Linked DNA regions of Cricetulus griseus. The protein of the gene in region 2 interacts with the protein of the main gene of each other region in a biochemical or structural test. Links are inferred from orthologs where the notes say so. Each region holds a gene or a part of one and is shown on either strand. Other genes may lie near its edges.

Evidence for each region.
Region 1: the proteins of Rad51 (region 2) and Evl form a complex in vitro, tested with the Homo sapiens proteins (2 studies listed by BioGRID and IntAct). The link is inferred for Cricetulus griseus from reciprocal best matches to the Homo sapiens genes RAD51 and EVL.
Region 3: the proteins of Rad51 (region 2) and Rad54b form a complex in vitro, tested with the Homo sapiens proteins (2 studies listed by BioGRID). The link is inferred for Cricetulus griseus from reciprocal best matches to the Homo sapiens genes RAD51 and RAD54B.

The regions. Positions count from the first base shown.
Region 1 is NC_048598.1:186,090,447-186,101,703, reverse strand, and holds part of Evl (ena/VASP-like protein), read left to right. Parts: intron 1-2,344; coding exon 2,345-2,408; intron 2,409-3,346; coding exon 3,347-3,408; intron 3,409-4,764; coding exon 4,765-4,994; intron 4,995-5,550; coding exon 5,551-5,672; intron 5,673-8,371; coding exon 8,372-8,432; intron 8,433-9,860; coding exon 9,861-9,924; intron 9,925-11,257. UniProt on the Homo sapiens protein: Ena/VASP proteins are actin-associated proteins involved in a range of processes dependent on cytoskeleton remodeling and cell polarity such as axon guidance and lamellipodial and filopodial dynamics in migrating cells.
Region 2 is NC_048599.1:59,370,905-59,382,261, forward strand, and holds the start of Rad51 (DNA repair protein RAD51 homolog 1), read right to left. Parts: upstream 7,286-11,357; coding exon 7,199-7,285; intron 2,920-7,198; coding exon 2,782-2,919; intron 1-2,781.
Region 3 is NC_048595.1:125,735,009-125,745,428, reverse strand, and holds the end of Rad54b (DNA repair and recombination protein RAD54B), read right to left. Parts: intron 8,969-10,420; coding exon 8,796-8,968; intron 8,388-8,795; coding exon 8,126-8,387; intron 6,305-8,125; coding exon 6,238-6,304; intron 6,068-6,237; coding exon 5,867-6,067; intron 3,493-5,866; coding exon 3,275-3,492; 3' UTR 3,102-3,274; downstream 1-3,101. UniProt on the Homo sapiens protein: Involved in DNA repair and mitotic recombination. May play an active role in recombination processes in concert with other members of the RAD52 epistasis group.

The DNA.
Region 1 (11,257 bases), on a different chromosome or scaffold from region 2:
GACCACCTTTGATTCCAGCCCCAGGGGACCCAGTGCCCTCTCTGGCCACCATCAGCACCCACACTCTGAAGACACAGAGACACACAGAAATAAAAATAAAGTAATCCTTTTTTTTTTTTTTAATACCCCTAAGTACTGAGCTGTAGAAGGTAAATCAGGGGATCAGGGGCCCTCCTTTTCCTCACCCTACCTCTTACAGGGACACAGCTCAGCTCAGGAGGCAAGAGGTAACACAGTGAGTCTGTCGTTGTGGCCAGTGGTTACAGGCATCGGGGAAGTTACCTGCCTTAGTCAGAAGAGGACAGATAAGATTAGTCAGGACCAGAGCTTCCTCACTGGTATCCACTACCACTTGAGAAGCACTGCTGGCTGAAGGGGCCCCCGTAAGTGGGCTGCTGTCCAGGGCTTCCCAGGGGACCAGCAGCCCTTCTAGCTGACCATGCCATGGGACAGCTGGACCAGTGGGTAGAGAAGAGGGACTCCAGGAGCTTCTTCTGCTTTCAGCTGACTCTAGAATGTATCTTCAGGACAGAGCTCTGAGCCTGCAAGGGACTGCGGCTCCTGATGGCCTTTCCCTGCTTTCTGTAGCAGCAGGGGAGCTGAGGGTTTGGGGAGTCTAGGCCAGCATACAGATTGAGGAATCCAAGTGTGTGACAGCAGAGCACTGTGTGAGCATGGCTGCAGCGGCTACTATGGACCATACATCCAGGGTCTTAGTCCTGAAGTAGTGACCACACCTCAGACAACAAGCAACACAAGGTTGCCTGGATATGAACGCAGCATGCAGAAGGAGGAAGGACAAAGTCTGAACTCAGGGGTGAGCTCGGTGGTTCAAGCTAGAACTTAAGGCCTGTGCATTAATTACTTGTCTGCTGCTGGGAGAAAACACCATAACCAGAAGCAGCTTACTTATTTTGGCTTCCAGTCCCAGAGGGGTAGAGTCGGTTGTGGTGGGGAGGAGTGGCTGTGGTGGGGAGGAGTGGCGGTAGCAGGGAGCAGAGATCACAAAGTAGCACAAGGCTGTGAGCGCCCTCCCAAAGCCTGCCCCCAGTGGCAAACTTCCTGAATCTCCCCCAAACAGCACCACTAACTGGTGACCAGGTGTTCAAATAGCCAGGGCTATGGAGGACAGTTTCCATTTAAACTACCACAGCCTTAGCCAGGCTGACAGCAGAGCCCCAAAATGTAGGGCTAAGGTGTTGTGAAACCTGCCTTTGACAGAATGAGTGAGGCAGGGGTCAAGGAGCCCCTCCTACTGAGCAGACACAGGTGAAACCTGAGAGCAGTGTCTAGGGACAGGGAAGCTTGTGTCTCTTCAGGGAGCCTGTGAGTCCAGCATCTCATCCTTCAATCCAGTCTCAGTCTGACCTCATGGTGAGACTGAGCCTGAGGAAGAATGAGACACTTGGCAAGGGTTTTGTCCTGCTCTGAGTCATGCATGACCTTTGAGCAAGTCATCTATCCTTCCTGGGCCTGGTTTCCTTAGTGGTCCCAAGTCCTCCTGGACACCTCCTAGCTGTGTGAGAATTGCAATTGTAATATAGATTAAGCAAAGAAAGTGTCTGGGCATTGCTCTGATGACGTTCCTACAGTACAGTACATTTTCTGCACCTAAGAGGATTAGGACGAAGACCCTGGGCTTCAGGGAGTAGGAGGCTGAAGAGTCTCCCTGCTGTCTGAGCTTCTCCCAGCAGGGGGAACAAAGCTGCTTGCACATCTCCTCTGCCAGCTGCTGACTGTGTACTTCCCAAGGGACACCTGGCCGGCGGGAAACAGCCAGCTCTTTCTTTTGGAGCTGCAGCCTGGATTTCTCTTTAAATGTGGCACAAAGCATGCACCAGCCCTCCTGTGACCATGAGGCTCGGCAGAGGGATCCTACCCTTTTGGGTACAAAGTGGGTGTGGCCAGAGTGTTTCATGGTGGCCCAGAACAAAGGGAGCAGTAGCAGGACCTGACTCTGCTGCTCATGGCTGCAGACTCCCCATGTGAGCAGCAGGTACAAAGGAGGGCCACGTCACCTGTGTAGTCCCTAGGTTCAGTCCAGCCCTGCCACTCACCAAAGACCCATCAGAGCTGATGATTCTTAACGTGCTGATGGTGGGCTCAGGAGACACTGGCAACTGAAGGAGCAGACACAGCAGTGCTGTGAAAGAAAAGTGGGTAGATGTTAACCGTTAGCACTCGGGGTCCCAACTATGCTCCAGAGGGAGGAGCCCCAGGAAATGAAGAGAGGAAGGGTGAGGGAGAGACGGAGGCCAGGAGGGTGGAGAGCGCGCCGTTACAGCTATTTGTTGGGCCTTTCTTCCCTCTACTGACCACTCCACTCTGCGTCTCTTCCCTACAGGCCCCTCCACACAGCGTCAGGTGCAGAATGGCCCCTCTCCTGAGGAGATGGACATCCAGAGAAGGTAACCCCATGACTCACAGCTGCCTGCCTGAAAGCACCCTTCAGCTAGTCGAGACACAGTCAGGCCAGCACTGTCGGGCCAAAAGAAACACCTACTGCATGCCAGAGATCTGTGAGCTCAATGCAAATTAAGGATACATGTCCTTGCCATGCAAACCCATACTTCCCTAAACTCCTTCTGAAGCATGTCTAGAAACCCTGTGGTGCCAGGTGGCCCTCGAGGCCTGTGATCTTCTGGCCATTTCTTCTGAGGCCACATATTGAAGCCATAGGCCCCAAACAGCCAGGTGAGTCAATCAAATGAGCCAGAGAGTCACACGAGCTTCTTCGAGACACTTCCTGCTCAGGGTGTCCTGGCTTGCCAGTCCTCTTCCATCTCGGTACTTGAACCCAACACATCCCTCTCTTTCTAGGAGGCAGCCTTGGGAGGTGGGGAGATAGCTCAGTCAGTAAAGTATTTGCCAAGCACTAATTAAAGCCCCAGTGCTCTTTTTTTTTTTTTTTTAAACAAAAAGTTAGATATGGCATTACCCACTCTAATCCCAGAGTTTTGGAGGCAGAGACAGGCAAACCCTGGAGTTCACTAGCCAGCCAACCTTGCCTACTTGGCAAGTTTCAGTCCAGAGACCCTACCTCAAAAAAAAAAAAGGAAGGAGAGAGAGAGAGACTAGAAGAGAGTGGATGATACCAGGGAACAACATTCAGGGTGATCCTTTTGTCTCCACACACGTGTGCACATGCAAACACACACACATACCACACGTGTGCATGTGCAAACAGACACACACACACACACACACACACACACACACACACACACACACACACACACACACAGCCAGTGCTGTGGCTCTCAAGGATGCCACAGAAGCAGATTTCAAGCCTGGGCTTTCAGGCACAGACAGGTCAGGGTATCTGTCTGCTCTGGTTGCTTTTCAGACAAGTAATGGAGCAGCAACAACACCGCCAAGAGTCTCTGGAGAGAAGAGTCTCTGCCACAGGTGAGTGAGGGTCACCTTCCACCCACCCTGTCCCAAGTGGCCCCAACTCGGACAGAACTCTTCCGACTTCTGACCACCTAGGTTCAAAGTGTGCTCCTCACTTCAGATGGAGTGGAATGGAGCATAGGATTAGGGAGCCTCCGGGCCCTCCCGTTGTTCAATTCCTCCAGTAGACATGTAGGGGAACCCCTGTGTCAGGGCACTGAGAGCTAGGGACATGCTATCAACAAGGCAGACAACAGTTCCTGCCCCCAGGAAGTCATGGTTGTCCTAACGTGGAGTACACACTGTGCCACGGTTGCTGGAGACAGTCAGGGTCGGGGGCTGAGCCTGGAGAGGAGGGTTCCTGGGTGCCAAGTCAGGCCTGTCACACCTCGGGAAGGGGTGTCAGGTGCATTAATGGGGCAGGACTTTCTTATTTGCCTTGCGCTATAATTGTAGCCTCATCTTACCTAACTTGCTCAGTGCCTTTTCAAGTTCTGTCTTGCTCATGGGAAAGCAGCCTGCACTGGGGTGATACTGCCCTCTCACCTGGTACCACAGCAACTCCTCTGTGCTGCCCGGGCCCCTGCACACAGTCTGTGAGCAAGTCAGCCCCTCCCATCACCCTGGGACACAGCTCTGAGGTGCAGCCTACCCTACACTCTCCCTTCCCACATCTGCTCTAGCACCAGCTTCTCCTTTCTTTTCTCCCAGGCAGCCCATTCTCTTTGCTTACGCCTGTTTCCCTTCACTTAACTGAACACCTCCTTTCCTGTCTAGTCCCAAGAACGTCAGACTTCCTGTGTGCCTGTTCTCGGTAGAGCTTGCCTTTTAGCTCCTGTCTGTTCACCTCTGATTTGTTCTCACAGCCTGAGCTGTTTTCTTCCACACATGGCGCAGTACCTGACACACAGTGAAAGCTCAGGCAGCTTTCAGTAGAGGGTGCCTGGCTAAGGTGCACAGTGAATGCCAGCGCTCAGCATTCATGGTTTCTTAACCAAAGTCCCAGTCGGCTCTGGGACCCAGGGACCAAGGGTTATATGCAGTTACTTCAATCAATGCCAAAGATGGAGCCAAGTACTTAGAGTGGAAAAAGGGCATTGCCAAGAATTTCCCTTCCCACTGGAAAAGCATGAATGGAACAAGAGGAAGTATGCTGCGCTCAAGCAGTGTTGGGCCAGGCTGAAAAGACTAGAATAGAGAGTGAACAGGGCCAAGTTCTGCAGGGCCTTCCTGAGAGATGCAAACTGTTCTGTTCCTCATCTCTCTGATGAGCAAGCTGCCCTTCATTCTTCTCCAGGGACCCGAAATAACAGCAGTAGACTGGACACCAGCTAGGTGCCGGACACTGACTCCTCCCCCATTGCATTTCAGGGCCCCTCCTCCCACCTGGGCATCCTTCAGTGGCAGCCAGCGCCACCCTCTCATGTAGTGGACCTCCACCCCCACCTCCACCCCCAGTTCCACCTCCACCCACAGGGGCTACGCCCCCGCCCCCGCCCCCTCTGCCAGCTGGAGGAGCCCAGGGGGCCAACCACGATGAGAGCTCTGCTTCAGGACTGGCTGCTGCCCTGGCTGGAGCCAAGCTGAGGAGGGTACAGCGGGTAAGAGGGTGGGCAGGCCAGGTACCCTTCACAAAGCACCTGTCACCCTGCCCTCACCTGTCATCAGGGAGACACTCTCACTGATGTGGCTCTCAGGAGTACCACAGAACCAGATTTCAAGCCAGGCCAGCCTGCCCTTTGCCAGTTAGTAAACAAGTAAGAGGGGGACAGCTCCTTGTCAGCTACAAGCTGCCTTAATCAATAAGTCCTGAAGCCGCCTTTGCTTTTCCCATGGACCTGCTTCCCACTGAGCCAGTCTGCTCCCCACCCAGGTGCATTTGCTCTGGAATGAGCAGCATGCAGTCAGTCGGTCGTAAGAGGGTGCCTCTGATGCATATCTCTGGCTTGAAATTTGCTTCCCTCCTCTCCTGTGACCAGCTGACTTTGGCAAGGACTCAAGCCTCTGAGCCTACCATGTCAATGCCCTAGTCCTCTCTAGATGCGTGTTTTCTGACCTGTGGAGCTGGGAGTGTTAGACGAGCAGCCTCACTCCTAAGGTCTTTCTTCCCCCTGCACCCACTGTACCAGAGTGTGACACACGCTTCCTCACCCTCAGCCAGAAGATGCTTCTGCAGGCTCCAGTCCTAGTGGGACTTCAAAGTCCGATGCCAACCGGGCAAGCAGCGGGGGAGGTGGAGGAGGCCTCATGGAAGAGATGAACAAACTGCTGGCCAAGAGGTGGGTCCCATGCCTTCCACAGTCCGCGTGCCTCTTGGGAAGCTGCCGTCCTCACCTGAAGGTCATTGCTAAGAAACATCCAGGGGGCATTCACAAGCCCAACCAGCATAAGGCACACTCCCAGGGTTAGAGCGCTCTCTAGAGAATGTGGGGGAAAGTGTCCAGTAGCTTCATCACAGGAAATGGATTGACAAGATGACTTGAGCCCAGAGACGGGAGAAGGTAGGCCCCTGTGTCAAGGTTAGCTCTGGGCCTGTTTTCTGGTCAGCACCTCGGGTATGGTTCTAAGTGTGGCCAGCACCAGGAATGCTGACTCTGGTCACTAAGGCTATGGCTGATCTGAAGAACCAGAGGGTACAGGAGTAGACCTGGTGTCAGAGCACTCTGCGCCTGAGAAAAGCTCAGCACAGACAAAGCCACAGCAGAGGCCTGCTCCCTGGGGCTCCAGTGGTACAGCAGGTAAGGATTCCTGGCAGGGTGGGCAGGCCAGGCACCCTTCACACATCAGCAAAACACTTCTCACTGTGCCCTCACCTGTCATCAGGGAGACAGTGAACAAAAGGCGTCCTCCATGACCAGGTAGATGGACCTGTCCCGGGTGAGGGGACAGTTGTGAGAGTCCTGGCCCTTGGTTTGCTTTCTCATCCCCCTCCACCTTCCAGGCTGACCAACCTGAGAGAATGCTGTATGCCTAATTCATTGTTGTCCTAATGCAATCTCATTAAATCCAAGAGGGAGGCTCTGTGAGCATGAAGAGAGGAGACAGGTCCAGAAATGCAGACGGGTAGCCAGGCTGTTGCCTCATAGTGGGACAGAACCTGGCCGCCTACATGCACACAGCAGCATCTGCATTGAAGACTAGTACAGAGGGCCGTGAGGTGGTCTGTGGCACTGGCCTTCCCAGGTCTCTTAGAAGGGTTACACAGTCATCAATTGTCCAGACAGGAGCCAGACATGTAAGCAGCCTTCACATAGCAGTAAGTCAGGGTCTGCATGAGGGAGAGAGTGGGCCTCACAGAGGGGGCTCCACCTGTACTCAGCTTAGAGGAGTTTGGTTCTCTGGGCTGGGGGATAGCAGAGGTGCCAGGCAAGGTTTTGAAGCATGCGTGCAGAACTGGACTGGTAGAGGCCGGCTAGAGCTCAGGCTGAAAAAGTACCTCATTGCCAGATGGATTGCACCTCAGAGCACCCAGAGACGAAAGGGCTTCAGATAAGAGCAGAAAAAATGTTTACACCTTCCCAGTGAGCTTAACAACTTGGCCTAGATGGTGTAGCCCAAACTACACCAGGAAACTAAAAACAGGAAAAGGTCAGAGTTGCCAGGAGCCATGAGGACGCCAGGTGCTGGGGTGGGGGGTGGAGGTGGGTCCAGGCCCTACAAAAAGCAAATGTGCTGTGCACATTTGAAGATCAACCAAGCAACTCTGGGATCCACCTCAGTGAGACTCTGAGGGTCCTGCAGCTTTTGTCTCCAGCTTTTCCTCTAGCAGGAGAACAGGGGATGTGAGCACTTAGGGCTGCTATGTTGTAGCCAGTCCTGCCACAGGCGTTTGCCTATAAATCTTAGCAGTGTAGCGCAGAGTGGCTTGGTCTCCAGTTGTCACTTTTTACAGTGTTGGGATGGAACTCATGGCCTCACACACGCTAGGCAAATGTATTACCAATGAGGCACACTCTCAGGCCAGGCTACCCTCTGTTTTTAAGAGATGAAACATGGGCTTCTGAGCATCAGTGCTCGGAATGGGGTAAAGTGACTGAGTAGACCCGTGAAGACCAGTGTACTCCAGGTGATGGTAACTGGCATAGAGCTTTCGGCAGTGAGAACAGGTCCCACTGGGAAGATCTAGAGAGAGAATTAATGAGACTCCATACCCCTGGGTTGTGGGAAGAGTCCTTTTGAGATGAGACAGCTGTGTGAGCCCTGCCACTGCAGCCAGAGGCAGCTCCTCACCATACACTAGGCCAGCTTCCCTCCTGACAGGCCACTCACCTCTGGTTTATGATAGGCTAATGCTTTGGGACCTCACAGAGTTGAAAATCCACCAGAGCACATTGTTGTGAAGGAGCCAGGTGGAGTGCTGTAAAGTTAGAGACCTGTGAGGAGAATGAGGATGTTGAGCAGAGGGCACCCTTAGTCCCTTGGTGTTACCCTGAACGGGGAAGGGTGTGACTAGGTTAACTGAGGTCCCAGACAGGAGAGCAGCAAGAGAAAGTGTGTGTGTGTGTGTGTGTGTGACTTGATGGTGAGGACAAGGTTTCCCAGCCAGACAGCTGTAACAGGACCTCCTGCAGCTCTGACCCAAGGTGACACACTGTGGTCCAGGGTACCATTCTATCCATAGGCCTTGAGTGTCTTGGGAGTAGAGCCTCTCAGCTAAACCCTGTCCTCAGGGACCTAAACAAGGTACAGCCAGCTCCTTTCTCCCTCAGAAGCTATGGCCAACACCAGCTGAGCTGAACATAGAAACACCCCAAGGGGCTTCCTTCCTGCCTGGACTAGTTTGGAGTCTAGGTCATGGGTGAGCACAGAAAGTCTTACCCTCCTGGCCTTGGCTCATGTAACCTGTTCACGTGAATGGACACCCTAGTCCACACACAATCTCCTGGGGAACCAAGTGTGGCATGGGGGCAGCCCAGAGTTCTAGGTCACTGTGAAACCTTGGGAAGCTGATTTTTTTTTTTCCCTCCCCAACATCTAGGAGAAAAGCAGCCTCCCAGACAGACAAGCCCGCTGACAGAAAGGAAGATGAGAGCCAAATGGTAGGTACCACTCTCCCTACCCCACTCACACCCTCAGGCTTACCTCCATTGTAAGCAGATCTCCCAGCAAAGACCTGGTTTGGAGGAAGCTGGGAGGGAGAAACAGGGATCCCTTCATAGTGCAGATCCAGCCAGGCTTGAGCCTGGAGCATTCTCTTGACCAGACCCTTGGAACTGTCACTTAGCAGGAAAAGCAGAAGTAGGCAGGAAAGCCCCATTCGCCAGGAGTGCTTGGAAGAACCCAGGGGGCCACTGTACTTCTGTACCAGGGCCACATCAAAGGATTTGGGTGCATCTGCTGGAGGCTTATGGAAGTCATGGCGGTTTTATTTCAAATTCCTTATAATTCTAAACACCCCACTTGAGTCTGTCAAGCCTACTGGCAGGGAGCTGAGATCCCCGCCCTGGCAGAGGATCCTGGAAACCTGGGCTCTGTCTTTGGCAGGCATATGGAGCCCAGTCTGGCAGCACAGCCCCCAGCCTCAACTTCTGTTTATGGTCACCAGTTTTCTTTAAGTGCATGATAAGCTTTCTTAAAACAAATAGAATTCTACTGGGACTACTGAGTGTACACCTCAGATACACACAGCATGAAGGCTGGCTGCCCCTCCTAGGAGAACTAGAGAGAACTGTATACCTAGGACCCGTGTATGCTTCCTGCCTCGCTCTCCCTACCTGCCAGCCAGTGAGGTGGGCTGGTGCCGCCGGGTCTGGGCATGTGCAGTTCTCTCTGCCACCAGCTAGCTCCTCAGCCTATACTTCTGCATGACCTTTATTCCCTACAAATGGCCTCTTAGACCCCAAGTTAGGAAGGTCACCCCCATTCTTGTAGCTCTCTGCTTCTGCCATGCCCTTCATACATTCAGGGTTGCCTTGCAGACCTGCCAGGGACCAAAGTGACCTGTGTCTTGCACCCCTGGGGACTTAAACCACACATGCTGGGAATACAAAGGCCTATGTGGCCAAGAACCACAGGGTGTCTGCATCGATGTGTTAGGACCTGGCACCACATTCCCTTGAGTCAGCCCTGTTTTTTCTTAGGTGGCAGCCTGTACTCCCCAACCTGTACTCCCCAGCTTCACAGCACCTTGAGGAGTGGATTTCACTGCTGAGGCTCCATTGAAACCCTTTCATGGGCCTCACTTTTTCCCGCCTTTTCTTAGGCAGATCTTTCTGTGTAAATCAGGCCTGGGTAGGGTGCTGGGGGCCAAGAAGTAACCCTTCCTGAGCCCCCTCCCTCCTCACTGCTCACAGTCTGGACAGGGAACCTGCTGGGGTGTGAAGGTTTTGTCCTTTAATGCCAGACATCTATCTACTGATCATATCCCTTGAGGACATTTGGAAAGCAGCTAGTGCAAAGATGTCCGGCCTCATCCCTAAGCAGCCTTCCTAACAGACTAATGAAAGGGCCCTTCTCTCCCGTTTTAGGAAGATCCTAGTACCTCCCCATCTCCAGGGACCCGAGCCACCAGCCAGCCACCTAATTCCTCAGGTAAGAGGGTACCTGGCCCAACAAGTCTGGAGGTCTTAGAGCAAGTGGTCAGCTAATCTAGCCACTTCACTCTGCATGAGCAGAGAGGGTCAGGACTACTGAGCCTCAGAGCTTCCCAAGGAGACCAAGCAGCCAGCTGGGCAGGTGTGACAAGGGGACATTGACCCTGGTCCAGCTGAGGGAAGGCACTGAGAGTACCATCTACAGTGGAGATGTCATGGTATGGCCTAGACAGGGGCTGGGCTGCCGGGAGGTTGTGGAGTAGTAAGGTTTTTGGGTTTTTGGTTTTTTGTTTTGTTTTGTTTTTCAGTTCAGAGCTTCTACATGTTAGTCTCCCAAGCTACCACTTAGCCACACCCCTGGCCAAGGAGCTATTTAATGTCATATTTTGTGTCTGCTGTGAAATGCTAACTAGACTGATACTATAGTTAGATCACCAATTGACCCTACTCTATCAGAAGCCCAGCCTGGCCCTACCCTGGTCACTGAGCCAGCTGTGGCAGAGGGAATGTGATTAGGAGAGTATCGTGAGGCTCAGCTGTGGGAAGAAGACCCAGACCCTGTTTGTTGAGGCTTCAACTCAGAGTGCACTCGGGGTCACTTGCACTGAGCCTGGGGCTCATGTGTGCGGCGAGGAGAGGCTTACCATAGAGAAGTCAGCTTGCCCACCTGACAGGTGGATCCTTGTGAGCTCCTGTCTGTACCAGGGTGCATGTCTGCCAGCCTTCTAGGACTTCCTGGGCTGTTGCTCCCTGTGTTGCAGATTCTTTGGTCAGTGTTACTGTCCTCTGTTGTCCTACAGTGTGGGTTAAGGGATTTCCTATGCTTAGCAGTTTTGGGCTGCCTGTGGTAAAGTATTCTGTTTGAGGCCACACATCTGGGGTGTAGCTGTGGTCTCAGGTCCTGTAAGCCCAGTGCACCTGCCAGGTGGCTTTGAGGTAACCTGCCTCAGACCTGAGGTTGGTCTGGAGACAAGGCTCAGCTTAGAGCAGGGCAGCCTCACCGTCCCTTTTCTCAACCCCTGGCCAGCCTGTTCTGCTCAATTTGGTATATTCCCTGTTGGAGCATGAACTGTAATCTAGTGCAACAAAGGTTGAGCTTCCCCAGTCCAAAAACCCCAAATGCTCCAAACTCTGAACCTGCAACACCCCGTGTCTCAGATGAGATGCCTGCACCACTAGACTTAGAAAAGGAAAAGTGGTTTCCAGACTCATTGTGAGGGGACTAGTGTACCAAAGTGCAGCGGGATCCCAGGCAGCCTGGCCAAAGGACAAAACTAATGGGAGTGTTGGGAGTGGTCCCATCTGCTCCTTGTAGCTGACACCCCTGCTTC
Region 2 (11,357 bases):
CTGATAAAATAAGCTATAGAGTATACACACTGGAACTTCATATAGGATTTTAATATCCAAGCAATAAAATAGCTTTTGGAGTTTTCAAGACAGGATTTGTGTGTAGCTTTGTAAATCAGGCTGGCCTTGAACTCACAGATCTGCTTGCCTCTGCCTCCTAAGTGTTGGGACTAAAGGTATGTGCCACCACCACCTGGAGAAAGTAATGCCTACTTACTATGGAAAATGTAGATGTCAGAAAATTATAAATTAAAAAAAGGACACAAGTCTAGAGATGGTTCAGTGGTTAAGAGTACTTGCTGTTCTTGTAGAGGACTAGGTTTGCTTCCTAACACCCACATGGTGGCTCACAAATGTCTTTAACTCCAGTTCTAGGGAGATCAGACATGCTCTTCTGGCAGCTGCAGACATCAAGCATACACATGGTGTACATATTCATGTAAATGGATTTTTATTTGGGCCGATAGCTCACAAAAAATTGGCATAGACTTATTAATTATGAAGGCTCAGCTAATAACAGATTTGTTTCTAACTAGCTCTTTTGACTTAAATTAGTCCACTTCTATTCATCAGTTACATGTGACTTGTGGCTTTACCTCTTTTCTTCTTCATGTCTGTGTCCTCTCAGTTGGCTGGCGATTCCTGGTGTCTCTACCCTTCTCCCAGTGTTCTCTGTGCCTGCAAATCTTGTCTAGCTATTGGCCATGCAGCATTTTATTAAACCAATAACAGTGGCACATCTTCACAGTGTACAAAAAATTTTTTCCGCAACATATACACTTGCAGGAAAAACACTCATACACATAAAATAAAACAGATAAAATTTAAAAATGAAAGAAGTCTAGAGCACAGCTCAATAGCAGAGTATGTACTTAAAGCCTACATGAAATCCTGGGTTCAATTCCCAGCCCAGAGACAAAAGTCAAATCAAAACAATATGCAGCTCATATTCTTATATTTTGGGTTGTGAGCCTAAGCTTTAACAGTTGAGCCATCTCGCCAGCCCATAGTTCATATTCTTACCATGGAGGAATAACAACATTAATATTTTAGTGCATCTATTCTAGTGCACATTCTATACATGCATACAAAATACACATATTTTAATGGGGCCCTACCCCCACTCCTGGATTTATATACTGTTAATGGCTAATGGGGGAAAGAAATGTTTTCTTTAGTGGTGTAGCTACTGTGAGCAAATGCTCACCATGGCACTGTATAATGAAACTCACTGCATCACGTCAACCCCCAAGGCCACGGAAGTAGTTGTTCAGGGGAAAGAAGGGGATCAAGAGTAGGAAGGAGACAATTGAGGATGATAGGGTATGATGAAAATATATGTGTGATGAAAATATATGCGTGATGAAAATGTAATAATATGCATTAATATAGGCTAAGGAAAGCATTAGAAGAGATATGAATGTATATTGTTAACGTGATTTTTTTGTTGTTGTGATTGGACCCAAGGCTTTCAGCACACCAAGCTATCACTCTGTCACTGAGCTACATTCCCAACTCTCACCTGCCTTCTTATATAAACATGTTATCAATATCATTACCTCTCTCTCTTTTTTTCTTTAGAAGTACTAATAATTAACCCAGGGCCTAGCACATGCCAGGCAAGTACTTTCCCCTGAGCTATATACCCAGTCTCTTTGTACTTTGAGGCAGGGTCTCACTAAATTAAGTTGTCCAAATTGGCCTTGATGAATTCACTATGTCAGAGACTGGCCTCCAACTTCCTGTCATAGACCCCACAGTAGTTTGAACTGCAGGCTTGCACCTAATGATGTGACGTCAATATTCTTCTAAATTGTTTTAGTGGCTACATACATAATAAACATATTCTGGGGTCTGGAAAAATGTCTCAATGGTTAAGAGCACTTGTGCTACCAGAAGACCAAGGTTTGATTCCCAGGACCCACATGTTTGCTCACAAACATCTGTAACTCCAGTTCCAGGGGATCTAACACACTCTTTTAGCCTCTGAAGGCATGTATGTGGGGCACAGACAAGCATGCAAGCAAAACACCCATACACATAAAACAAAATAATTTTAAAGAGGAAAAATCTTTATGAGGAGAGATCATATTCAAAATAGTAAGGTGCATACCAATCACTTCTACTGGGAATGTTAAACAGTATTTTTGGCAGCATTTGTATCAAATTCCACAATATTGCATTCCTACAGGAAATCTGAATTTAAGATAAAAACTCCCAACAGCCAGGCAGTGTTGGCATTGCCTTTAATCTCAGCACTTGGGAGACAGAGGCAAGAGGATCACTGTGAGTTTGAGGTCAGTCAGGGCTGTTACTCAGAGAAACCCTGTCTTGAAAAACAAAAATTGCCAACAGTCACTTCTAGAAAGATGACAAGAGAATGGAAGAGGCAAATGGTGGGATAACTAAGCCTCAATGTGTCTGACAGCTGGCCTAGACAGATAGTAAGAGCATGTGCAGTAGATATTTCCTGACAGCTGCCAGAGGGCCTGGACAACAGCAGCAGAGTCTAACCAGAGAAAATGTAGACCTATGGACAGTGACTACATCCTCAGCAGATGCCAGCTCAGTGGATCCACCCCCTGGGGCAGAGTGGGAGGCATATAAAGTGAGCTTTATTGTTCACTTTGTTGTTTCAACTTGTTCCTGTGTTGTTGGTGTCTACTTGCCCCACCACCAAGGACCCTGAAACAGCAAACAACCATTCACTATATACTGTTTTGCAGTAATTATTCTCACTAATGCATCTGTCCTCCCCCACCATCACATAGCTATACTTACCAGAATTTTGTCTGCTTTGGCTTCACTAATTCCCTTAATATTTATGAGTTCCTTCTTTGGTGCATAAGCAACAGCCTCCACCGTATGGAAACCAGCTTCTTCTAATTTCTTCACATCATTGGCACTTATGCCACATTGCTGTAAGAAAACAATGGGTAACTTAGGCCTCTTGTCTAAAACGGATATTACAACTTAGGTATTTGAAGACCACTAATACACAAAAAGCCTCTAAAAACTTGTCTACATATGAATTATTAAATAACAAGCTATACACTTTTTCATCATCAAAACTAAGTTTTAGGCTAGGGAGATAGTGTCTGCTATTACCCTGAGGAGGTTGAGACACTTGGGTCCCTAAGACTCACTAGTCAGGCAGCCTAGCCTAACCAGTAAACTCCAGGCCAAAAAGTGTGTATCTTAAATAAATAAATAAATAAATAAATAGATAGATAGATGGCTCCTGAGGAAAAAATACTGCGGTTGACCTCTGGCTCCCATGTACTATCCCAGGCACATGTGTTACAGGCTCACAACTGCCTATAACTCCAGTTCCAGGAGGATCTGATGCCCACTTCTGACCTCTGAGGGTACTAGGCACATAGATGATGCACACATTCATGAAAGCTAGACACATATACATAAAATAATAAAACTAATCTAAAAAAATAAAACAACACAAACAAAAGCAGCTATGCTGGTACATGCCTAACACTTGGGAAGTGCAATCAGGAGGATCAGGAATCAAGGTTATCCTGAGCTACATGGAGAATTCAAGGCCATGCTAGGTTGCATGAGACCCTGTCTCAAAACTAAAATAAATAGAGGCTGTGATAAACACCATGACCAAAAGCAACTTGGGATAAAGTGTTTATTTCAGCTTACAACGTATAATCTGTCCTGAGGGAAGACAGGACAGGAATCAAAGTGGACTAAATATTTTCTCTGAACTTGTCAAATGCAAATGGACTATACATTGTTGATGAACCTATTGCCTATATATTGTACTTTCTATAAATAGTTTTTCTTATGTCAGTTGTAGCCTTCTTTTTGTATTAGACAAAAAAAGGGGAACTGTAAAGATATATTATTAATGATTTATTTTTTAAAGATTTTGTATTTATTTCCATCTCTCCAGCCCTCTATTTATGATTTATTAAAGCTTGCCTGAGGATTCAGAAAGCAAAGTCAGGCATAGAAGCCAGTCCTTAAGAGAAACAGTTCATGCCTTTGATCCCAGCACCTGGGATCACACAACTTTAATCCGAGAATTGGCGAAGTATGTAAGACAGGAGCAAGGTCAGTATCAGGCATTCATTCTCCAGCCACGTTGAGAACAGGAATACCCCAGCCCTCTGGAAGCTTGGCTGCTTTGCTTCCCTGATCTTCAGCTTAAACCCCAATATCTGTCTCTGGGTCCTTTATTAATTCATGTTACATCAAAATACAGACCTTGGAATGCTTACTGGCTTGTTCCTAGTGGCTTCCTCAGTATGCTTTTGTATACAACCCAGGACCATCTGCCCAGGGGTGACACCACCCAATGTTCTTCCACACTAATCATTAAGAAAATGCCCCACAGGAGCAGGGTGTTGGTGGTGCACACCTTTAATCCCAGCACTGGGAAGGCAGAGGCAGACGGATCTCCGTGAGTTCGAGGCCAGCCTGGTCTCCAGAGCAAGTGCCAGGATAGGCTCCAAAGCTATACAGAGAAACCCTGTCTTGAAAAAACAAAAAAAAGAAAAAGAAAATGCCCCACAGAATTGGGACTGGCATTTTCTCAGTTGAGGTTTCCTCTTCCCAAATGACTCTAGGTTGTGTCAAGTTGGGGATGGGGTCTGTAGAGGTAGCTCAATGGTTAAAAGCATTTGTTGCTTTGGCAGGGGACTCAAGTTTAGTAACCAGAAAACACATGGCAGCTCACACTACCTGGTAACGCCAGTTCCAGAGGATCCCATGCCCTCTTCTGATTTCCACAAACACTAGTCATTCATGTGGTAGATATACATACATACAGGCAAAACACTCATATATAATGTCTTAGGGTTATTATATATGTCCAAAGTAACTTGGAGAGGAAAGGGTTTATTTGATTCACACTTCCACAACACTGTTCATCACTGACAAAAGTCAGGACAGAAGTTCAAACAGAGACAGAGACCTGGAGGAAGGAACTGCTGCAGCCCTACAAGCTGCCTGCACCTTGATTTTCTGGAGGCATTTCCTCAATCAAGGTTCTCTTCTCTCAGATGATTATAGCTGTGTCAAATTGACATAAAGCTAGCCAGCACACACATTAAATGAAAATAAATAAATCTCCAGCCAGAGAAGGATTCTAGCAGAGGAGGCAGAGGCAGGTGGATCTGTATGAGTTTGAGACCAGCCCGCTCTACATAGTGAGTTCCAGGCCAGCCAAGGCCACATAGTAAGATCCTGTCTCAAAAAAACAAAATGAATCTTAGGAGGAAGAGGCAGGGGCATCTCTGTGAGTTCAAGACCAGCCAGGTGTATATAGTAAGTTCCAGGTAGAGACTCTGTTTCAAAAGAAAAATAATAAAGGAGCAGGACAAAAAAAAAAAAAAAAATATGAATCAAATAATCATGAGATAATACAACCTGTTAGAAATGACAATTTTATATATTTACAATGAAGAGCTAGGAACTAAAGTTATTTAGCTAGCACCATTTCCTTCAATAAACCTTCATTTCAATATACTAAACTTGGATTGTGCAGCACTAGTCCCAGTGTCTTTAAAAGTCCTATAAAATTACTTGGTGGAAAATTTATTTCATCTTCCTATTAAAAAATTAATAAATCAATCTTAAACAAAACATTATAGAAGCTGGAGAGATGGCTCAATAGTTAAGAGTGCTTGTTGCTCTTGTAGAAAACTGGAATGCAGTTCCCAGCATCCCTGTTTGGTGGCTCACAACCCCCTCTAACTCAAGTTCCAATAGATTTGACACCCCCTTCTGTCCTCCTTGGGTATGAGCACCTAGATGGGCTTACCTGAATATACACAAATAATCTTTTTTTTTTTTTAAAAAAAAGATTTTATTTATTATGCATACAACATTCTGCTTCCACGTATATCTGCACACCAGTAGAGGGCACCAGATCTCATAATAGATGGTTGTGAGCCACCATGTGGTTGCTGGGAATTGATCTCAGGACCTCTGGAAGAGCAGTGCTCTTAACCACTGAGCCATCTCTCCAGCCCCAAATATACACAAATAATCTTTAAAAAGAAATGACCATGAACTCTGAAGGGTGATCACACCCCATTTAAGTAAAGGTGGAACGAGAGAAGCAGTGCCACAAAGTTAGAGAGGGTCTCATGCAGCTCAAACCTGATAGGAGCAAAGAACTGTGGACTCCTGATTCTTTCTGTTCCACCATGGAAGCAAGTGCCACCAAGCTCAGCTCATTTAAGTAGTTCCAAAGTCTTAAAAGTTTGGGCAGATTGGAAAAGTATATAAACTGAGACAGAAGAAATACTGCACAGATTTAGTACGTTTTGCTTTTGTTTGTGTGTGTGTTGTATGTGCATGTGCTCATGTGTGCTTGAGTGTACATGCAGAGGCCAGAGGGCAATGTTGAGTGTCTGCCTCAGGCAGTTTAACATCACTACACCTGATTCTCAGACTGGCCAGACTGGCTGGCCAAAAAGCCCCAAGGATCCCCCTGTCTCCACTTCCTCAATGCTAGCATTACAGGCATATGTCATTCTGCCTGGCTTTTATGGGTGATTGAGATCCAAACTCAGGTCTTCATTGTTTGCATGACATGGACTTTATACACAGAGCATCTCCCCAAGTCTCTGGTTTTTCTGCTGCCTTTTTTGTGGCTTGTTTGTTTTTGAGACAGGTCTCACTAAACAACAACTTGCTATGTAGACCAGGGTGGCCTCCAACAGAGATTTTCCTGCCTCAGCCTTCCAAATGCTAGAATTATGACTGTGAGCCACCACACCCAGCTAATGCTTCATATTCTCAATGTTGACATAGAGCTGGATCTTATATCTTAACAACCTACACCCTTCAACCTGACTTACAACAGCCTTCTCAGTAGTATCTTCCACCTGAGCCAATGGAGAGAAGCTGTTCCTCTTTCCTACATGCATTCCTGGGTTACACCACTAATTCCCTAATCAGCATTTTTATATTTAGTGTAAGCAGCAGTATGATTCCATGGGATCCCAGACCCTTGTTTCTAAAGTTCAGCTTTTAGGGAGAAAATAGAGTAGGAAGAGAATTGTCAAAAGAGACTTGACCAGACAAGACATATATAACAATCCTGTGCTTTTTCATAGAAACTGACAACCTCCTGAAATTTCTGTAACGGTTAACTTGTTCCATTACATACAAGAATGTATTACAGCATTGTAAGTAAATAAATACTTAGCAACTAAGAACATACCTCTAACCGTGAAATAGGTTGTGGACCAAAGCTTTCTTCTTCCACTGAAGTATCTGCATTTGCTTCAAGCTGCATCTGCATAGCCATTACTAAAAAATACAGATAGGCATCAGTATGAATGAACACTAGGGGAATACTCTTGGGTAAAAAGTTAGTTTTCCAACAAACACTATCCACAGGTAAAGAGCAACTGCTACTCTTAAAGAGGATCCAGGTTCAGGTCTCAGCAACCGTATGGAAATTCATAAACTGTCTATAGCTCCAGTTCCAGGCACTGGACATGAACGTTATGCTTACAGACATAGAGGCAACATATTCATACACATAAAAATAAGCTTTAAAAAGTCAGGTGTGTCTAACAACTGTGGGCTGCATGCAGCCAAGGATAGCTGATTCAAACTGATTTTTTTTAAAGATATATTTTTACAAAGCAGCAAGTTCTAAGCCTTCCCATACTACATAGTGAGTAAAATTTCAAATCAGAGTATTTTCTTTTTTACTATTAATTTTATTTATTTTTATGTACACTGGCATTTTATCTACATGTATGTCTGTGTGAAGGTGTCTGATGCCCAAGAACTGGAGTTAATATTATGAACTGGGAATTGAACTGGGTCCTTTGGAAAAGCAGCCAGTATTCTTAGAAACTGAGCCATCTCCCCAGCCCAGAATAGTTTTATGTTCTTAGGATGATACACAAAGCAACAACACTCTAGTAGGAAAACACAGGCTAGCAATATGGCAAGTGGTACAGTTCTTGTATAGAATAGAACAAGGCACTGAGTTGAATCCTCAGCACCACAAAGCAAATGAAAAAAACTGACTATATTTTATTTTCAGCACAATTCCATCCTGAAGATGGAATTCAGGTCCCTGAGCAGGTTAAATAACTACGAAAAAGATCTTTAAGCTTTTAACCCTGTATAAAACCAGATATGGTGGGCATGCCTGTAATCCCAGCATTTAGGAGGTAGGCAGGGAGATTAGAAATTCAATGTCATCCTGTTATATAGCAAATTTGAGGTTAGCCTGGATTACCTAAAACCCTGTCTCGATAAATAAATAAAAATAAAACTTCTAGCCGGGCGTTGGTGGCGCACGCCTTTAGTCCCAGCACTCGGGAGGCAGAGGCAGGCGGATCTCTGTTGAGTTTGAGGCCAGCCTGGTCTCCAGAGCTAGTGCCAGGATAGGCTCCAAAGCTACACAGAGGAAACCCTATCTCGAAAAACCAAAAAAATAAAAAATAAAATAAAATCGTAATCGTAACAGTAGAAAAAAATATTTGCCACATACATAATCAGAGGTGGATAATCAAAATACAAACATAAAGAACTACTTCAAATAAGAAAAAAAAGGACAACAGAAATCAGATAATCAAAGAAGGTATCTTTACAGCAAAAAAATATAAACAAACATGCAATCTCATCAGTAACCAAGAAAATTAGAACCACAAGTTCAAGGACAGGCTGGGCTACACAATAAGAAACCTCTACATCCACTCCAAAGTTTGTAAGATATTACTAAATACCCATCATAAAACAGCAAGTGTTGGCAAGCATAAGGAACAATTACACATTCACTACTACTGGTATATTTACATGAAATTTAAAAACAGGCAAAGATGCACTAGGGAAGCAGAATCAGGAAATAGAGTTCAAGGTCAGCCTGGGCTAAGATTCTAAATCAAAATAAATAAACAAATAAATAAACAAACAAACAAACAAACAAAAACAATGCTGGAGAGATGGCTCAGTGGTTAAGAGCACTGGCAGCTCTTTCAGAGGTCCTGAGTTCAATTCCCAGCAACCACATAGTGGCTCACAGCCATCTATAATGGGATCTGATGCCTTTTTCTGGCATAAAGGCACACATGCAGACAGAGCACCATACACATAAATAAATCTTGAAAAACAAGAAAGTTCAGTTAAAGTGAGGGAGGAGGGATAATATGAACAAGGCTGGTCAAGCGCATGACGGGGAAAATCTCAGAGACAGGTGAGGAGAGCTAGTGGGAGTTCGTGGACTATGAACTGACAGCTGGGGGACCTCTGAATGTGGGTGACAGCTATGTGGCTTGACCCATATGGGGTTCCGGGGAGTTGTGGGACCGAGACCAGTTCCAAGTGCATGAACTGGATTTTTGGAGCCCATTCCTAGGATGGGATACCTTGCTCAACCCTGATACAGGGGGAGGGGCTTGGTCCTGAGTGGACTTGGTATGCCAAACTTTGTTGACTCTCCAAGGAAGGCCTTCCAGACTCTGAGGAGTGGATTGGAGGTGGGAAGGGGGATGGGGGACAGGAGAAGGGGAGGGAGGGGTACTAGGGTTGGTATGTAAAATGAAAAAAAAAATTAATTAAAGAAAAAAAGTATTTAAAAGTAAGTAAATAAAACCAAAACAAGGCTAGCATGATGACACTCTCCTGTAGTCCCAGAACCCAGCAGGCAGAAACCATAGGATACAGTGTTCCAGACCGGTTTCTGGGTTACAAAGTCAGACCCTGCCTAATAAGGTTTTGTAAAAATAGGTCAAATTAGTGAACAGTATTAGAAATCACTCTTTAGCCATTAGGGTGAGGGGGAAATATTAGACAAGGAATGAATGATAACAGAGGTTTTTAAAATGACAACATTTGATTTCTTTTACGTCCTGATTACACAGATATACTCATTTTGTAATAATTCATGCATGCACTCATTTGTGGATTTTGTATTTTTATATTTCACTTTACTACTGCTATTTTTTGAAAGTTCTTTTTATATTTACATTTTGTACATGAGTTTTTTGCCTGCCTATATATGTATGTATATCACAAGTGTGCCTGGTGACTGCGGAGGTCAGAATAAAGAACCGGATCCTCGGGAACTGGAGTTATGGGTGGTTTCAGGTGGGTGTTGGGAACTGAATTCAGGTCCTTTGCAAAAGCAACAAGTGCTCTTAACGCCGAACCATCTCTCCAGCCCCCCTATTTCACTTTTTTCCTGAAACATGCTCTTCCATATGTAGTTCAGGTTGGCCTTGAAAGTGCCATCCTCCTGCCTCTCCTCTCAAGTGCTAGGACTATAGTACAGGTGTGAATCATCTAGCTAGGATTCTCTTTAGAAATATGTGTTGCACTTTTTAGTCTTTACTCTGCTGTTTACACAGTCTTTGAACTCCTACCTCAGCCTCCAGAAATCACTGGCACCAACCACTATGTTCAAATTAAAAACAAACAAACAAACAAACAACCCTAATATTTAACAGCTGTGGGCACTTATCTCAGGCTCTCGGCTTCTTGCGTCGGGGCCACGGAAATGAACGTGAAAGTCTGTAATTCCAACATTTGGGAAACTAAGGCAGGAATTTTCCAGCAGAGCCTGGCCTAGGGCGTGAGCCAGGTCTCAAAACAAAAGCCTGAAGTAGGATTCGGTTTTCTCCACGTCGAGCTCAGTAAATCGGTTAGCGTCGGTCGGTTGGCCCCAGGCTCGGCCGTCCTCGCGTTTCTCAGCGAAGAGGGAACCCGAAGCCCTGGCCTCCAGCTGAAGAACCCGAGCGGCGGAGGGAGTGGCGGCCCGCGCTCGCCCTCGCGCTCGCACTCACCGGTCCGCAGCCGCCGTGGGCCGCGCGCTCCTTTGGCGGCCGGGTCTGCTCACGCCACAAGAACCACCGTCACCGGCTCCTCTGTCCGGTCTTCTGTGAAGAACAGGAGCAAATTTTAGCCTTCCCAGCTGCGTTTCCGGAAAACACGGCTTTGAACAGGAACCCGTCTGCACGCACTTCGCCCAGGGACGCGCGACTTTCAGAAATCCCGCCAAACGCTCACAGACGGCTACGCCCGCATCACTGCAACGTCATCGCGCCTTTCTCGGCCCCGCCTGTAGCCACTTCCGCTGGGAGCCTGACGGACTTGCCCGACGACTTGGAAGCTGGGTGATTCCGTAGGTCATATTTACCTTTATGACTGTTCTCAGCTGACCTTTCTAGCTAGCTGACTGAAGACTACAAGTCCCCAAAGGCAATGTGATCGGCCCAGGACTACATCACCCAGCATGCACCGCTGCGCGCGCTGCTCTGTAAAGTTCTTGCGCACCCGGGTGTTGGCATTAAGTCGGAAAATGTCTTTGAGGTGTGTGTTTTTGTCGAAATGCCTACCTTTGGCAGTTGGGGTGCTTTTCG
Region 3 (10,420 bases), on a different chromosome or scaffold from region 2:
CGACACTTCAAAAGCCCAGTCTCTTCTGAGACTCAAGGCAAACCTTAACCTTGTGCGACATGTGGGCATGCATGGGGAGTTAGGTCTTTTCTTCCACCTACATGTGGGTCCCAGATTTGTGCAACAATGCCTAGACCTCTAGAACACCTCACAGTTCCTCTTTTGGTCTTTTTAACAGTGTGGAACACGGTTCTTTGAGCAAAGAACCCAACAGACCATTGAAGATGAGAAGGGGGTTAAGTTCATCAGTCATTTGAGCTCTAAGGAGCTGTTGTGTGCTTTGGGCGGCAGATGGCCCAGAGATTGAATGAATGTGACAAAATGAAAGCCTGTCTTCAAGGAACTCAGCTTAATAAGAGTAGAACAAAGCAAGTCAGCAGTTAAGAGAGAATGTGTTAAGTGCTACAAAGCTGAGTCGATGACTGGGAAAACAGATATATATATATATATATATAACCCAGATATTAACAGGGGCCTCAACATCTGGGAGAAGTGAGTCTGAACCCCACAGATCCCTGGCCTAGCAAGGTCCAAAGTCTTTGTCTTAGTTAGGGTTTCTATTGCTATGAAGAAACACCATGACCACGGCAACTCTTATAAAGGAAAACATTTAATTGGGGTTGGCTTACAGTTCAGAGGTTGTGATAATGAAAAGCATGGTGATGTGCAGGCAGACATGGTGCTGGAGAAAGAGCTGAGAATTCCACATCTGGATCTGCAGGCAGCAGAAGCTATTGTGTCCCACACTGGGCGAAGCTTGAGCATATATGAGACCTCAAAGCCTATCTCTACAGTGACACACTTCCTCCAACAAAGCCACACCCACTCAAATAAGGCCATACCTCCTAATAGTTCTTAGCTCCTAACATGCTATTCTAAAAAGGAAACTCTTGCATCAGATAAACACTTTTAACACACTGACAAGACATAAAATCAGCTTGCAGAGGCTGGGGACTGCAACACAGTTGGTAGCCTGCTTTCCTAGCATGTGCCAAGCCCTGGGTTCAATCCCTAGCACAATATAAACTGGGATTGGTAGCTTACTCCTGTAATTCTAATACTTGGGAGATGGAGGAAGGAGGATCAGAGGTTCAAAGTCATCCTCAGCTACATTGCAAGTTCAAGACCAGCATGGACCTGAGACACTACCAAAAAAATTACAGAAAAACCAGTAGCATTTTTTAGATCAATAATAAACTCATCAAGGGAGAAATCAAGGGGGGGTCCCATTTACAAGAGCTGAAAAACAAAAACAAAAACAAAAAAAACTACCCGGGATTAATTTTTAGAATGAAAACTTCAAGGCACTTTAAGAATATATTGAAGAACATACTAGAAGATGGAAATACAGCATCATGTTTTAGTAGAATTAGTATTGTAAAAATGTTTATATTACCAAAAGCAATCTGCAGACTAAATAAAATCTCATTAAAGTCCAATGATAATGCTTCACAGAACTAGGAAAAAGGATCCTAAGTAAATCTAGAAGCACAAAGGGCCCAACAGCTGAAGTGATCGTTACCACAACATATGATCTCAAAGCATATACACAACCACAGTAGAAACAACAACAAAACCATGGCATAGGCCAGACAGAAGATCAGACCCAGAAACAAACCTGTAGCTACAGCTATCCAATTTTTGGTAAAGCTATCAAAACCACACTGCAGAGAAAAGATGGACTTTTTAACAATGGTGTGGTATCACAATTAATTAGGTAGCCAACCGGCAGGAAAGCAGAGCAAGCCAAAGCAGCAGGGAAAAAGAGAGCTACCATGTGCGTTCCCTATGCCTTTAAATTTCTCACATGTCACCCTGACAACACCTTGACCACACCTTGATGGGCGTGGTCGGGCACACCTGTAGCCAGCCCTTAGGAGGCGTGGTTATGGTGTCTCCCTACAGTACGGTAATATATTATTTATGATTTAATAAAGCTTGCCTGAAGGATCAAAATGCAAAGCTAAGCCAGGCAGTAATGGTGCACACCTTTAACTCCAGCACTCAGATGCAGGGGCAGATGGATCTCTGTGAGTTCAAGGCCAGCCTAGTGAGTTCTACAACAGCCAGGGCTACACAGAGAAACCCTGTTTCAAAAGAACAAAACAAAACAAAGTCAAAAAACCAGAATGCAAAGCTAGCCACTCTAATTAGCTATAGAAGCTGGGCAATGGTGGCACACACCTTTAATCCCAAAACTCAGGAGACAGAGGCAGATGAATCTCTCAGAGTTCAAGGCCACCCAAGGCTACATAAGAGTGAATCAGTCTAAAAGAATAACAGAGCTCACACCTTTAATCCCAGAACTAGAGAGTATATAAGGAAGAAGCAAAGTCAGTCTTAGGCAATTCGTCTCCAGCCACACTGAGGAGAGCATGGCAGTCTAGGATTCTGAGGTTAGGTGGATCGCCCCTTTGGTCTGAGCATTGATGGAGGTGAGAACTCTCTACTGGCTGGCTGCTTTGCTTCTCTGATCTTCATCTTGAACCCTAATATCTGCCTCTGGGTTTTTATTATTCATGTTACACGATGGTGCTACAGGAACTGGGTTTCCATATGTAGAATGACACTGGATTCATCTCTCTCTGCACAAAAATCTACTTAAAATCAAGACCTGAAATTTGGTAAACTGCTAGAGGAAAACAGACCCTTCAAGACATGGGCATAGGCAGGGCTTTTCTTCACAGGAAACAATGTCCCAGCTCTACCACCCACTCCCATTCCTGGCATGCTTTCCCTTCTTTAGTCTCCATTTCTAAAAGCAACAACAAAGGCAAAGCCCGTATACTCAGCAAAGAAAACCATGCCAGAGTGAAGAGACAGCCTGTAGGAAGGGAAGTCTTTGTCAGCTTCTCATCAGGAGATTCAGATCCAGGATACATAAAGAACCACAAAAATTAAACAGCAAAAAATCCCTAACCATCCCATCAGTAAATGGGCTAATTGAACTACACAAACAGTTCTCAAAAAAAGAAACAGCCAGAAAACATGGTGGACAATGTGTGACAGCCTTAACCACCAGGGAAATGCAAATGGAACTTCTAGCACTGGGTGAAGAGTATCAGTCACAGACTCACACATGAACGTTTCATTTTCAACACTGAAGGATACACACAAGAAAGCAAACCACTCAGTTTTTATTGTATTTAAATTGGCATATTGTGAAACAAAGTTCACTATTATAATTCAAATAATTTTCTAACTTTCAAAATTACATTTAATTCCTTTATTAATTTTTAAGGGGGGCAAAGGGATGTTAGAAAGTAGTCCTTCACTAGATGGAAGGAGCTTGGTTGGTTATATTCTGGAAAAAAAATGACACATTTTCCCTTATTCTTTCCAGAAATGGGTCTGTAAGATTTAAATGGTCGCCAGAAAAATGCTTCCACTGCTTCAGCTGTGACATGGACAGAGGTCTCAGGGAGCTAGACTTCTGGTGCTGAGGGCCGAGCTGACACTGTCTAGAGGTGGCAGGGGTGTCCAACACATCATCTGAAATGAGTAAAAGCAGGAGACCTCTTCGTGAGTCATGCGATATGTCATTTCTGACCACACAGTTTAGATAAGACACTCACTCAGTCATTCATCCTTTTTACAAATATTGATGGGCAATTACTGCCCACTCAATAAGTACCCAGCCCCTGACACACACGACCAAACAAATAATTTCACAAAGAAAGGTTTACCAGTCCACAATCCATTATCTAAGCCCTATGGGATAGAGCCAAAGATGGAGTCACTGTGTGAGCCCTGGTTTTGTGTGTATACGGTCTTTGGATGTATCTCCAGCACCAATAAATAAACCAATTCTGTAAGGCCTGACAGGTTTGCAAAAGCAAGCATGGGGGTTTGAACTCCATAAATCAAAAACATTGATCTTCTGCAGCAGCAAGCCTGCTAACAGACTGCAAAATGGCTTCCTATGAATGGGCCATAGAGACTACTGATGAACTCATCAAGTAGGTTTCTTTAAAGATCTTTTTTTATTCTTTTTCAATTGCATGTTTTGTATCTGGATGTGGGTATGTGCATATAAGTGCAGATGCCCAAGGAGGCCAGAGGAATCACACCCCCTGAAGCTGGAGTTAGACAGTTGTGAACCACACGTAGTAGCACTAACAAGTTATCTAACAGATATGTACTTGACTGTATGAAAACAGTATGTAAGTAAAAGTATATAACTAATTACACATTTGTAGTGTGGCAGGTAAAGAAACTATGATCTATCCATACAATGGAAGATAACACAGCTGAGGAGCAAAGGGACCCACCCTTGCCCAGCATATTGCTATTTCTAGGAACTTACAGCGAATTTATTGTGTTTACATCATTTATACACCTCCAACTTCTCTCACATCCCACTCATTCCCTTTGAATGGGAGTGGCTTCTTCTATAATTATTATCTCACACACACACACACACACATACACACCCATGTATACACACACAGACACACACACACACACACTCACACTCAACTGCTGAGTCCATTTAGTATTATTGTACATGTGTTTAGAACTGAAAGAATATTCTTAAATTATGAGTAAAGAAGAAATAACAATAGGAAACAGGAAATATTTAAAACTTAATAATGAGAAGATTACATATTAAATTTATGGGGCTTGATATAGAAGAAAATTTAAAGGGTTAAAAACCATTTTAGAAAATAAGTTTGAAAATCACTAAGTCATGCCGGGCAATGGTGGTGCACGCCTTTAATCCCAGCACTCGGGAGGCAGAGGCATGCGAATCTCTGAGTTTGATATGTATGGACATATATTTGTTTCTGAGAATTTCATATATAAGTACTGTATTTACATCACACATACCTCCAATTGTAAGAGGTTAAAAAAAGCTAGAAGGTGCTGGTGCAGGCCTTCAATCCCAGTACTTAGAAGGCAGAGGCACCAAATCTGTGTGAGTTAAGGGCAACCTGGTCTACAGAGGGAATTCCAGGACAGCCAGGCCTACACGGAGAAACTCTGTCTCAAAAAGCCAAAAAGAAAGAAAGGAAGGAAGAAATGAAGAGAGAGAGAGAGAGAGAGAGAGAGAGAGAGAGAGGGAGGGAAGGAGGGAGGGAGGGAGGGAAGAAGTTTAAAAAAGAGTAACTTCTTAAACATCACAATATTTTTTAATCTTTTAAAGATTTTCTTTATTATTTATGTGCACATGGGTGTGAGGTGAGTATATGTGCCCTTGAGTGGGGGGTACACTTGTGTACATTTGCACAAAGGCCAGATGATAGTCTGTTACATGGTGCCAGGATCCAAACCTCATGACTGTGCATAGAGCACTCTTAACTGCTGAGTCATCTCTCCAGCCCCTAACAGTATAAATTAGCAAGTGACTCCCCATCCCTGGACATTGCTTCCTCACTTCCCGATTCTCTTCTAGTTGTCCTGTGAACAGTGTCTAAGTGTAGAGAGACATGCTTTCAGGCTTACTGAACATCACATGTAGTTCAAGCACTGAGAAGTACAGTTGCTTCTTCTAAGCACCTCCTAAAGTCTGGCGCCATTTATACACAAATCTTACATGGGTTAAACAAACAATAGGTAATTCTACTAAGTATGGGATTTTTATGAAATTGCAATAAAATTTAAAACATCTTTCTTACTCTGAAGCCACTCTACCAGGCACTGAGAGATTTGCCTAAACAAGTTAATTTTTTTTCACAACAGATTCAGAAATAAGAAACTAAACAGAGAGTAAAATTCTATTGAACATTTTCTCAAGCGTACACCTAGTAACTGCCCCACAACTCAAGGGACCAAGAAAACTAATACATGCAAATGGCAGCTCCTTGTAAGTCACCTTTTAAATGTTTTCAAAGTACTGTGGTAGTGGAATCAACAAACTACTCACCAGTGTGACCTTTTCCTCCTGTGCACTCACAGTCGAGCAGGTCATGGGTCACACACTGTGAATTTTCGTGCAACGTGAACAAGTCTTTAAGCTCCTCCACTGAAAACTGGATATGTTCAGATGACTTGGTGAGGTCTACAACTGCCCCGGAAAGGCCTTGCTTACTGATCTGCCTTTGGTAGATCTTCTCCTCTATGGTACCTAGGGAGAAAACACACATTAGATTCCCTTCTTGTGTCTATTATTTGTGTTGGGTAAAACACATTTGCTACTTATTGTCTGATAAAAGAGTATATTCCAGATATTGAAGCACAAACTAACAAAAGGAAATTTTTAAGGAGATACATTTTTGTCACATGAAGGTTTTTTACCTGTAGTCAGGAGTCTGTAAATATGCACAGGGTGTTTCTGACCATCTCTCCAAACTCTAGACATAGCCTAGACAAAATAAGAATTCTGAGTATAGTAGAAACTGATGGCCCTTGCACAAAAGCAATTTGCAGGAATATATTTTACTATAGAGAATTCTGGAGTTCACTAATAACTCAAAAAACAAAGCAGGGTGCCAGCAAGATGCTCCACAGGTAAAAGCACCAGCTTAACAGTCCCAGTTTGAAGCCTAGAACCACACTGTAAGAGAGAAGAGCTCCTGCAAGCTGTCCTCCAGCTGCACACACATACCAATGGCATACACTTGCCCTCTTTACATCTTTGCCCTGGGCTCAGAGGGAGGCTGAACGAGCACTCGTGCAGGCATGTGAAGTAGCTGCAGGAGTCCATGAAACAGTGAGATGGGTATCTTGATAAAACATGACAACCATGATGCAAAGAACTAAGTACAGCCTGGGTATGGAGGGTCCAAGCAGCTAATAATTCACTCTTTAAAATTCCATAAGGCATCTGCAATCACTTTAGGTTCCCTCTAGCTTAAGTATTAACTATGATACTGTGCAGTAAAGCATTAATGCTTAAACCTTGCACACTCCTCCCCAAAATGCTTCTAACTGAAGAGTAATAGCAACACACATAGGGACAAGAGATGCTAGGCTTTCATGCCCTTAATCCATGAAATCTGATATTGAGTTTCTCTTTAACAATGTATGCATGTGGCTGTCACTTAGTTACCTTATCAAAAGGGGAAAACCCCACTAGGTACAGGACAATGCCAGCATGCCCAGCCATCAATTTTCACACAAACTACCTATTGATCTAAAGCTTACAAAAGAAAATACCTTAACTTGTAAGATAAAGATTTCAAAGAGTACCACTCCCATGAGCAACAAACCAGAGGCCACTTAAAGAACCAATAAAATGCCTGTTTTCTGTCTGTCCACAAGCATCCTGTATCCTGTATTCTGAAATCAGGGTTATTCCCTTTCCTCAACTCCTTTGTCTCCTACTGAAACTTAAGCTTGTACTCAGTGCAGTTTTTATTTCTACAACCATCCTTCAACTTTCCTCGTATTGAATACACTCGGCTTCATATGGTATGAATCTGACTGACCTCTGGAGGGAAGGAATCAAGACTGAATAAATCCATCAGGCAGTCATAGAGGCACTTTGTGTCTACAGAACCAACTCCCTACAAAACCCTGAAGAGCAAACCTTGCTGGTAATGCTCCAGCTGTGCCATCACTCATCAGTGATGAATTAAGTGCTGTCCAGACAGCTCTGAGGGAATGGACACATTGAGTTTGTGCCTGGTCCCTCCTGGACTCTGCGCTATGTATCCTTATAAAATAATAACTGTGAATATGGCTGCTTTCCTCAATTCTCTGAAGCCTAGAAAATCATAAAACTTAATTGTTGTCTTAGGACCCCATAATGAAATACCAACTATAGTAAAAATCTGTATGTCAAAACCCTCAAAATACATGAAAGTGGACTGTATACTGAAAAAATCTTGGGCTTCTCCACAGTTTCCTAAAGAAGTTAATGCTGTGGACTCACTGCAGTATACACAAATCATTCATAGCATCCATACAGATTACCGTTATCCCCAGTGGTCAGGAACTCCTCCAAGCCTAGCTGTACAGTGTGACATGAAGCTTGGTTTTCATTTCTTATGTTGGAAGAACAAACTTCCATTTCCTCACATATAGAAAACATGGGCTACTTACATCCACATGTGGAGATGCTGTGATGATTAAAGTGTGTCTGATACAAAACAAGAGCCCAATACCCAACGACTAATTACACATCATCATATTTGATCTCCTAGGCATACATAATATGGACTTAATGCATAAATATTCCTACCTGGATGTCAGTAGCTGGATTCCAGTCAATATCATAGAGAATTAGGTGAGATCCTCCAATAAGATTAAGTCCCACACCACCAGCTTTTGAACTTAATAAAAAAATAAAATCAGTCGAGTATTTGCTATTGAAATTATCCACTATTTGCTGCCTTTGAGAGACTGGTGTCTGGCCATCAAGTCTGGCACAAGCATATCCATGGCGCTTGCATATGCCTTCTAAAATATTCAAGGTTTGTCTATAGTTGGAGACCAAAACCACTCTGTCAACCAAAAACAAAAGTTTGTTACATAACATTCTAAGACAGTATTTTGTTCTTTTGTTTTTTAGTTAAAGGAAAATAGCAACACTGATATAACAGAAGGAACAGCAACAGCAAGTAGAGTTGGGAGCAGTAGTTGTTAGTCAACTCAGGTTCTCTGGAAGAGCACTATGTACTCTTAACCAGGGAGCCAACTCCCTAGTCCAAATACCTTAAAACCTTGCCAAGGCTCCTCAGAAGGAAGGAGTTTAGAGTATCGGTACCCAGAACCCCAGGTCCCACCTCCATGTGACTAGGGTACTTGCAGAAATGTATTCTTTAGAGAAAGTAAACCAAGTATACTGACACTAGGGAAAGTAGAGGCAGGGTACGGTAACAAGAACATGGGGGGCTGGGTACAGGGCTTACTTTTCGGTGGGACGAAGTTCGTGAATTGCTGCCAGGAGCTTTACCAACACTTGTAGTTTCCCAGACTCATTCTCAGAGAACTGGAGAGGGTCGTAACCAGTAGGGTACAGAGTCAGCAAGCCTTTGCATAGATTCATTTCTTCATTTTCATCACTTGAGCTAAATTCTTTACTCTGTTCAAATGTGAGTAAATACTGGTTCATGTTTACTGTTTTAATGGGAAGAAAAATGCCCAGATAACTGTGAAGTAAACCTTTCCAGGTCACAGTTACCACTTCTGAAGCATACCATGCCTCCTCAGAGTTTCTGGGCCTTTCCAACCCTGACATCTCCTATCAATACTTTACTCTGGTTCACTGTCCCCCTCCCTCCCTATTATTTTTCTCTTTATTTGTAGGTGGCTCACAGCATCTCCCAAATTACAAACTAAAACAAGCCAAGTTTCCTGAGTCATAAATCATATCAGTTTCTTCATAAGTAATGATGTCATCTGTAAGCTAACAGAGCAATTTATCTTACGACACATTTGGGGTGGGGGATATGCTCTCATTGAACCCAGGGCCCTATTTATGAAGAGACTCAGGTTACTTTATTCTAAAATGATCACAAAGCTGTCTCTGCTTCCAGAGCGCTGAGATTAAAGGTATGTGCCACCATGCCGGCACAATTTGGTTTGTTTGTTTTTGTTTGGTTTTCTTTTTCTTTTTTCACAGTATTTCATACGTGGCTTTATTTAACTGAGTACTGTATATATTTTTAACTCCTCTTACGATCATGCATGTTATATTCTTTTGTAGCAAACAAACCTTTCTGGGCACATATTCAATTGTAATTTGGCTATTGACACATGCACACAAAATATACTTAGGTCAAGTCACTTGATAGAATATGTCAAGTTAGATCTACATAAGATACCTATAATCTGAAGAAGTCTTGACCCAGGGTTTAGTTGAAATAATTTAATATGCTTACACTGTAAAGAATTGATGATTTGGGGTAGACACACACATTTATATACAACACATACACAAATACACACACAAAAAAATGCAAAAACATTCTAAATTAAGTGACATATTCTGAGCCATCATAATTTCTTCCTTTTAAGGAAAAATTTTTGGCTTCTATTCTTCCTGGGCTTCATGTCCAAAAGGTTTAATTTTTACCACTTGTATGTAGAATCTGTTTTTTTTAAGTTGCTTAATAAATTATTATAATCCAGCCTTCTGCAGAGTTACATAAAGCTCACTTCTATGATAAACTAAGTAAATAAGATCCATTGTAGAATGAACTTGGAGAATTCTATTAGAACACTCCATTTTTTAAATATACAATTAATGATCTCATACATAAACTAGCACCCACAGTTTTTGTTAGGAAGGTTATTTGGGAACATATTTTGATTTTACTGCTTAAAGAACTGAATAAAAGTTTTCCATGATGAGCTGGAAATACCATTAATGATCATTGTGCAACTTTTTTAACCAGGCATTCTGTTAGGTTCTTCCCATAATTTCTTGTAAAATTGTCATAATGGAATAACTGTCATGAAACAATTACTTGCTCCAAATTCCAGATAAGAAAACCAATGCTCACAGATACAACTTAAGTACCAAATTTAACAA